Rattus norvegicus: one gene and its partner. Each later gene encodes a partner of the first gene's protein in a complex. Links are inferred from orthologs where the notes say so. Each region holds a gene or a part of one and is shown in the gene's direction. Other genes may lie near its edges.

What was found. Proteins that work in one complex are often made in the same cells at the same time.
Region 2: Lamtor4 (region 1) and Lamtor3 share a complex: the UniProt entries of both Homo sapiens proteins name them as parts of the ragulator complex. The link is inferred for Rattus norvegicus from reciprocal best matches to the Homo sapiens genes LAMTOR4 and LAMTOR3.

Annotation. Positions count from the first base shown.
Region 1 is NC_086030.1:22,371,024-22,375,068, forward strand, and holds the start of Lamtor4 (ragulator complex protein LAMTOR4), read left to right. Parts: upstream 1-1,245; 5' UTR 1,246-1,314; coding exon 1,315-1,317; intron 1,318-1,756; coding exon 1,757-1,837; intron 1,838-4,045. UniProt on the Homo sapiens protein: As part of the Ragulator complex it is involved in amino acid sensing and activation of mTORC1, a signaling complex promoting cell growth in response to growth factors, energy levels, and amino acids.
Region 2 is NC_086020.1:229,083,491-229,087,708, forward strand, and holds the start of Lamtor3 (ragulator complex protein LAMTOR3), read left to right. Parts: upstream 1-1,399; 5' UTR 1,400-1,480; exon of another isoform or gene 1,481-1,509; intron 1,510-1,697; 5' UTR 1,698-1,734; coding exon 1,735-1,743; intron 1,744-2,808; coding exon 2,809-2,843; intron 2,844-4,218. UniProt on the Homo sapiens protein: As part of the Ragulator complex it is involved in amino acid sensing and activation of mTORC1, a signaling complex promoting cell growth in response to growth factors, energy levels, and amino acids.

The DNA of each region.
Region 1 (4,045 bases):
TGGCCCTACTTCAAAATTGTTGCCATGTTGAATTCCGGGCCTGGGCATGCTGGGCAAGTGTTCAAACTCAGACCCATGCCTCATTTTTAAAGACATGCATTTTCTCTAATTAGCTGCTTCTCCTAAACCAAGACGATTTGGGGTGGAGGACTTTCTTTCTTGAGCTATGATTAGTGCTGGGGATACAGACCAGATGGAGAGCTCTTACCCAGCATGCGCAAGGCCCTTACTTTGCTTCTCGGCACTGAAAATAAGGGGGGGGGGGGGGAGGGTTATATAATTCACAGATCTTGAAACATTTTAATTCAAAGTGTACAACCTATGTCACAGTCACAAAGATAGGCAGACTTCAATACGAATCCCAAAAAGTTTAAATCACACGTGCCACTCCCCCCCCCCCCTTAATAGGCACTTCCTATTTTCTCTTGCCTCACTACCGACCACTAACTGCTTTCACGTTTTTCTGGATTTGCCAGAAGTGTATGTGTTTTAGTTAGGCTCCTGGTAGGTAGCTCAGGCTGGCACTGAACTCACTATTCAGTCCAATCTGGCCTGAACTTGAAACCCCCTTCCTTGGCTTCCCAGGATTTATACCAGTATTACAAGTATTCAGCGTCAGTCACAGCTAAGCATCTTACATAGATGGAACCACATAATATGTGGTCTTATGTGACTGCCCTTTCAAGCCAGTCCTTCTGGTTGATTCTGAGCCTCTAAAGGCTGAGTTGTCTCTGAAGCTATTCTTCTGGCTTGCTTTAACTTGCTTTCGAGATTCTCAAGTTGCTCTTGGTGTCAGGACGTTTTTCCCTTGTATTGATAATATACTACAGTGTGCATATATACACCAAATTTGATTTACCCATTCATATTTGGGTCGTATACTAAGGCAGAAAATTAACACGTGAACAGTTTTTCATGTGTAAACCATCGTCATTCACATTAACTTCTCTTTTCAGGTTGAACCGTGACACCTAACGGGGAAAGCTCTTTACAACACTAGACTGCATTACTTTCTCCTTGGAAGCCTAGGCGCACGCGCACGTTCGTGAGGAGGTGGAGAGGTGCCCCGCCCCTCGCTCAATAACTCTTCAGATAATCTCGCAGGCGAATCCTGAGTGGCGAGGAAATGCAACCAATCCACGAATGTGTCCGGAAAGCGGCGCTCCGCAGTGGTTGATAAAGTCTGATGACGTACGCACCATCCAATGCGCAAGCGAAGGGCTGGGCTAGAGTCAGCTGGTGAACCACCTGACCGGAGCCTGGAGCCGGAAGCTACCTATCCGGTAGACAGCTCCCCCTGCACCTACGGCTGCCATGGTGAGTGAGGACGCATGCGCGGGCTTGTGCGCCTAGGGTTGCGCGTCCCTGTTCCCCAAACTTCGGTTACCCCCTTATGGCTTGCACTCCGCTGTCACCCCCAGTCCACCCTGGGACCGAAAGGAAACAGAGATGGAAGGGAGGCGACCGGGAGGGCTGGAGAAGGAAGGCTCCGCTACCGGGTGTTTTGCGGCCGGGAGTAGTTTTGATGGCACAAGGGGCGGGGCATAAGGGCACTGGAATGAGAAGGGGCTGTGAAGCTAGGAAGGTCTCCTGGGTCACCTGCCTGACAAGTGGAAGAGCTCAGGCGTCCAATAGTGACCATGGATGGAGACTCAGTGTTACAAGCCATTTAGAGGGTCTGAAAGGCTTATATCCAGGAGGGAGATGGGTTTACAAGGCTGTCATGGTTCTCACCTCTTGCCTCTTTACCCACTAGACTTCCGCACTGACCCAAGGGCTGGAACGAATCCCAGACCAGCTTGGCTACCTGGTGCTGAGCGAAGGTGCAGTGCTAGCGGTGCGTTGTGGGAAAGCGAGGCATGGGGTGGTGGCGGTGACGGGGTCCTTTGGGGACACACAACCCAGAAATCCCTTCAAATATTTCCCGCTTTCTCTCAGTTGTCTACTTTTGTCCTCTCTGTGGTTCCCTGCTTGCCATATTTAATGTTTGGATATATGGTATAAATGCTTATTTCCAAAAGGTTGGGGTTATAGCTCAGTCAGGAGAGTGAGTTACTTAGCACGTACAAAGCCTTCAGTTCAATTCCCAATACTGCACAAAACCAAACACAGAGGCACGTGATCTGTAGCCCCAGCACTTGGAAGGTGGAAACCGGCAGATTAGAAATTCAGGTTCATCTTTGGCTATGTATCAAGTCAAATCACAGTCTGGACCACATGTAACTCAGCCTCAAAAAACAAAAACCAAACTTTACCAAAGTCATTCAATTAGTTAGTTACTTGTAGTATGTTTTTATTTGGGATATCTTTAAAAAAGCCGAGGACAACCTTTGGGAGTGAGTTCTCCTCCTGCCATGCGGGTCCTGAGGATTGAAATCCGGTCCTTAGGCAAGCACTTTTATGCTCTGAGCCATTTCACCTGCCCCTAGAATTTTGGGGGGCGGGGGCAAGACTTCTCTAGAGGCAAGGATTGAGCTGAGCTGCTAAGACAGAAGGTTGTGAACGAGGAAGAGAATTCTCAGGGCTGGGAGCTGGACATACTTGCCTGAGTGTAACAGCGCCTGGTTGTGGTCTTGTGTTGAAACAGTTTGAAGAGGAAGGATGCTGTGGTAAGACTCTGATACTGAACTTCCTATGGCTAGCTTCAATATCTTTGGACAAATCTTGAGGGTTACTTAAAGGGTTTTGAAAACATAAATGTGACTCACAGAAATGGTGTAGCATGACTGTCCCAGGAGAGCCATCTAAGAGACTGGCCGGGTAGCAATGAGAAGTAAGGGCTATAGACATTGTATCTATTTTTTTAGTGTCTGCACATGTGTGTGCCCATGCATATGCTAAGACCAGTGTAGGACATTAGAGACCTCCTCTTACCCTTCTCTGCCTTATTCCTTGAGGCAGGGTCTCATACTGAACCTGGAGCTAGACTGGCAACACTGAGCAAGCCTTAGCAATCAACCTGCCTGTACACCCACAGTACTGGGATTCCAGGTGTGAGCATGGCCATGTAGGGTAGGGGATTTGAACTCAGGTCCTCTTGCTTGTACAGCAAGCGCTCTTATCCACTGAGCCATTGCCACAGCCCAGAGATCACATCTTAGAGGTATTAATATATGTTGGTAATAACTAGGTAAAGTACTTCTGCATGTACCTTACCTTTCTGATGTACTCATCCTGTAGGACTCTGAGCAGGGAAAACCAGAAAAGTACTGTGGTACCTGAACAAATAAGAAAGTAAAAAAGGAAGCTGACCAAGGAGGTAGCTAAAGGGAATTTTGATGGCCTGACTATAGACAGGAGATGAGTGAGGTCTGAGATGAGTGAGATGGACTGATAGCAGTTATAGTACATTTATTATGTAGGCACTGTTATAATATTCTCATTGTTTTCTCATGAAACTTCCACAAGCACAGAATATGGGTCCAATATACAGATGGAGAAACTGAGAGCAAAAGGAACTAAATCTAGTAAAGGGCCCATTTAGAATCAGTGGGAAGAGGGAGTAGAAGCAGTTTGTCCAGAGAAGTCTGGACTACTGTCTTCTCATTGACCCTAGAAGTAGCCAGAGGGAAAGCTTCAAAGACAAAGTAGGTGTTTCTGGTTCATAGCCTTCAGACAAGGACAAGTGGGAAGACTGGGGACAAGTGGAACCTTCAAAGATTGAGCAGTTAGCTTAGTGGTAGAACATCTTCCTAGAATCCTCTGTGAGGGGCTGAAGGCATGGGTCAGTAGTAGAACACTTGCCCAGGAGTCCCCCAGTGAGGGGCTGGGGGCGTGGCTCAGTGGTAGAGCCCCTGCCTAGAATCCCCCCAGTGAGGGGCTGGGGGTGTGGCTCAGTGGTACAGCCCCTGCCTAGAATCCCCCAGTGAGGGGCTGGGGGCGTGGCTCAGTGGGAGAGCCCCTGCCTAGAATCCCCCAGTGAGGGGCTGGGGGTGTGGCTCAGTGGTACAGCCCCTGCCTAGAATCCCCCAGTGAGGGGCTGAGGGCGTGGCTCAGTGGTACAGCCCCTGCCTAGAATCCCCCAGTGAGGGGCTGGGGGTGTGAT
Region 2 (4,218 bases), on another chromosome or scaffold:
GGATGAAATAAGAGTGGGGCTGAGACACTAGAGGACAACTTCATGCAGTGTGGGACAATCGATGTTATCGAAAACACGCTGACTCACACGGCTGAGCTGGCCTGTACGAGATCAAGGCAGCCAATATTCTAGCATGTAGTGGGAATGGTTCATGGGCCTACCTATAATGAGGAGCTGTGGACAATTGACGGCTTCTGAGAGAGGGACTGTCAGTGTTCTTTAAGGGTGGCCCCTGGTAGGTTGACCATGACCTATTGGATAGTCCCACAGGCCCAGGAGTAGTTAGATGATCAGCACAAACTGGACTTGATGGGTTATTGGGATGGGTTATGGGGGTGAACCCAAAGTTTGGAGGGTACAAATATGGGGGTGAACCTGGGAGGAGTTAGGGCAGGGGTAAATATGATCAAAATATATTTCATGAAATTCTCAAAGAATAAAAGTGTTAAAACTTTATGGGAATGAAAAGAAACTTGTGTAATGATTTAGTAGAGGAATTCCCAAGTATGGGCTCCCATACAGCTGACATTTTCTTTAATGGTACACACAAGGTAAGAGCTAATCTGCAGCAAAACCACCATCTTCAATCCCCCCCCCCCCCCGAGCTCACGCAGCCACTGGGGAATATTTAGATCCCAGATGATTTTCGTTTGTCCTGGGGGTTTTCTACAGGAGTCTCCTAAGCGGACTACTGTGCCGCCCTCTACCACAAAGAATGTTCGTGGTGTCACAAAGTGTCAGTGGTGGGAAACACCAGGCCAAAGCAAGTGGAGAAGCCTTCCTTTTGCTAAGCATTCTTGCCTTCCCCTTACAGTAGGCTTTCTTGAATGTACAAACATCAACAAAAGATATAGACAGTTTTTTACAAAGCTACAACAAAAGCAGGTCCTAGAGCCAAAGCAGGCAGCCCAGTGCATGCATGTTCAAAACAGACTTGACAAACGAGCCCATAGGTCCATGGCTCCTGCACTTCTAGGTAAAAACTGTAAGAAAAGAGCATGTAGGGTAGCACCCTCAGGAAACTGACTTGTAGGTTGGGTCATCTAGGGATCTGGGCCTTCTAAGTAGGCTTTTCAGTTCGTGCTTCTCAAAGGTCTTCATTCACAAAAAGATTTACATAATGGGTCTGGGAAAGGTGTATGCATACTCCGCACAGGACCGTCTTCCTTTGTAGGTGTGTTCAGTAGAAATTAAGGCGCAGGGACCTCAGACGCTTGATTAGCGGCTTCGGGTGCAGGGCGCAGCGCGCAGGCGCAGGAAAACTCCGAAGGGGCGGGGGGGGGCGGAGCTGCCGCGCGCGCAGTTTCCGCTGGGTCTCCCCGGAAGTTCCGAATCACCAGTACTGGAGGGTGCAGCAAGTGCTTCCTGGATCGCCACGGAGGTCACGAGTAATGTGACAGCGACTTGACAGGCAGCTTCAGAGAAGCGACTGAACTGCGGGAACACCGGGGCAGGTGGAGCGCGCGTTGCGTCTGCAGAGGTCGCCCCTTCTCTCAGCTCCGGGACAGGGTGGGTGGGGAGAGGTGGGCCGTCCGGGCTGGCCACCGGGCAGGGTCCTGGGGACCTCCCCACCCCCTTGACGGAGATCCAGAACTCTCGCTTGGCCCTGGCGAGGGTGGACCTCGTGATGCTGGCTGGGGCTGGGGAGGGTGAATAACCCCCAGGTGCGGGGGGAGTCACGGAAGTTTTCCTTCCAGGAGTGGAGACTGATTCTGCGAGAGAAAGGGGTTCATCATGGCGGATGTGAGTTGACACCCCTTCCCAAGAAAAATGGGGATGTGGGAGGTTTGCATGAGGCTTCTGAGAGGAAGCTAGAATTTTGTTCCGTCCTTAGCCTCTCCCCTCTTCCCGGATCCGGATCCGTAGTAAGGACTTGCAGGGACCTTAGTTTCTATCAGGAACGGTTGTGGTGGGGCACTCTTAACCCGAGAGAACTGTACTCTTCCCACCTCCTAATCCTATTGGAGCATACATGAACTCTGTGTGGGTAACTTCGGAAATTCTAAAGGATGACTGACTGCCCTTCCAGTCAGTACCTGATCCAGAGGACAGTGCTCTGAATACTTTCCTACCAAATAAATGCTTAGTGTCTCATTAGACTCAGCATTGCAATCTAAAAGGATTTCTAAAGGGTGCCCCTTTCGCAACCTGTATTCCGTTTCTGTGTGTCTGTTTAAGACGAGAGCAAAAGTTCATGGTGGTAACATGGGAGAGGATACTCATTTAGGTTTGTAGATAAAGGTTCAAAACAGGACACATTTAGACTGGAGGTCATAGTTATGCTTGTTGGCCAGGAATATTTCTAGATGCATGTATAATGAGAGAAGGTGGCTTTCTGTTCTCTTAGTCCTTACCACGTTCTCTGATAAATCTCCACATTGTCATTATCTTTGTCAAGAAACTGGATATTAAAGTAGTTTATCTGAATTAGGATCATTAAAAACAATCGTGGAAGATCAGTACGGACATAGGAAGAGATTTATAGACTATTCCTAAGGGGACACAGTAGCATCAGGATGTAAATTATTAAGAAACACATGGTCTCATTTTATAGTAAATAATGTATTTGTGTTTCCCAATTCCAAGTACACCAACATATATACCTTATGAAATTTGATTATCCCTGTATACATGTAAGGAAACATACAATGGATCTGAGGCCTGGAAAAAGGTTAATTAACTTCTCCCAAGTTATACAAGTAAAAGATGAAATGCCAGTTACAAATGATGACCTCATGTCCTTTGGGGTATGGACAGGGCTAGAAAAGCACACAGTAATATGATCTTTAAAAAATTATTCTCTTTCAGGATCTAAAGCGATTCCTATACAAAAAGTTGCCAAGGTAAGAAATTACTAATTTGTTGCTGAATAAATTCTGCGCAACATGTTAATCTTACAAAGTGTTTTGTTTCTCCTTTTTAAATTAATATTTTATAATTGTCATGGTAATTATTTGCCACGTTTTAATACAAACTAACCCCAAGTATCGTAAGTAATGACTAGTTTCTAGATAGATAACTCGAAGCCCAGGCTGTTAAATGACTTGTGTATGGTTCAACAGCAGATAGGTACTAGGGACAGAACTTAGATTTCTTGCCACTTTGAATTATTTTTAAACACACTATCATTGGTGTTTATTAGATTATTTTTTAAAGTTCTTAAGTAAATTTAAGAAAAAAAGCTTAAGACTTGCCATTATTTTCAAGTCTATTTTACTATTGGGACCTAATTGCTGGTCAACATAATCCAAAAATAGTTGGCTCAGAAAACAGTTCCCTACCTGTTTTTAGGTGCCGTTCTTACAAAGGCCTTAACAGGTGGTAACGTTAGCAGATTGCTTTTACGTATTTTACTGATCCAAAGGACTTTCTCACTTGAACTCATTGAAGCTCATTCTTAGTTTAATGTGAAAACAAAAAACAAAAAAAAAAAAAAACGATGTCTTTGTTGACAAGCACGTCTTTTGTCTACATCCACATCTTTCTACAAATAACTCAGAACTCGTAATCATTAAGGATGAGCAAGGAAGGTAGGGAAGAATGCCCGAGTCTTTGTTTTCACATTCCAGAACAAAGCAGCAGATTGGATTGAACAACCTTTGAGGTCATCAAGCAGAATATTCTATGAATATTTTTCTATTTGTGGAATAATATAAAAGTTATTTATATTATTTTGTCTAATCTTCCGAGTCTAAAGTTATAAGCGCTTGTGTGCAGATATCAGTTTACCTCTGTAGGTTGAAAAAATTAACACTGGTTTCAAGTTGCTTGAATTGTTGGATGTATGGCTTTTGCTTTGATTGTAGATCAGTGGAAATTAATAAGTGTGTTCTGGTTGTGATCTATATGGTGTATATAGAAAACACCATTGGCATGTTAAGTGAGACAGTGATAATTATCGATTTTATGTTAATGAAATCTTTAATTAATTTAAATTAATGTAATTAAATTTAATTTTAATTCTTTTTCTCATAATAAAATGGCAAATTATAGAGACCAGCTGCTGGTTCTGTTTTCACACAAATGGCCAACATGACAGGCAGTGACAGCTTTGCATGCTAACTAATGAATGGCAATAGAAACAGTGGTACAGGCTAAAACCATGCAGGAGAGGGTTAGTAACTAGTGGGGGAAATAATACTTGTTTTTCTGACCTTATAACATTTCAAAACATTAAAACTTTTCTCGTTATTGATTACTAATGCTTGGGGGACTGCA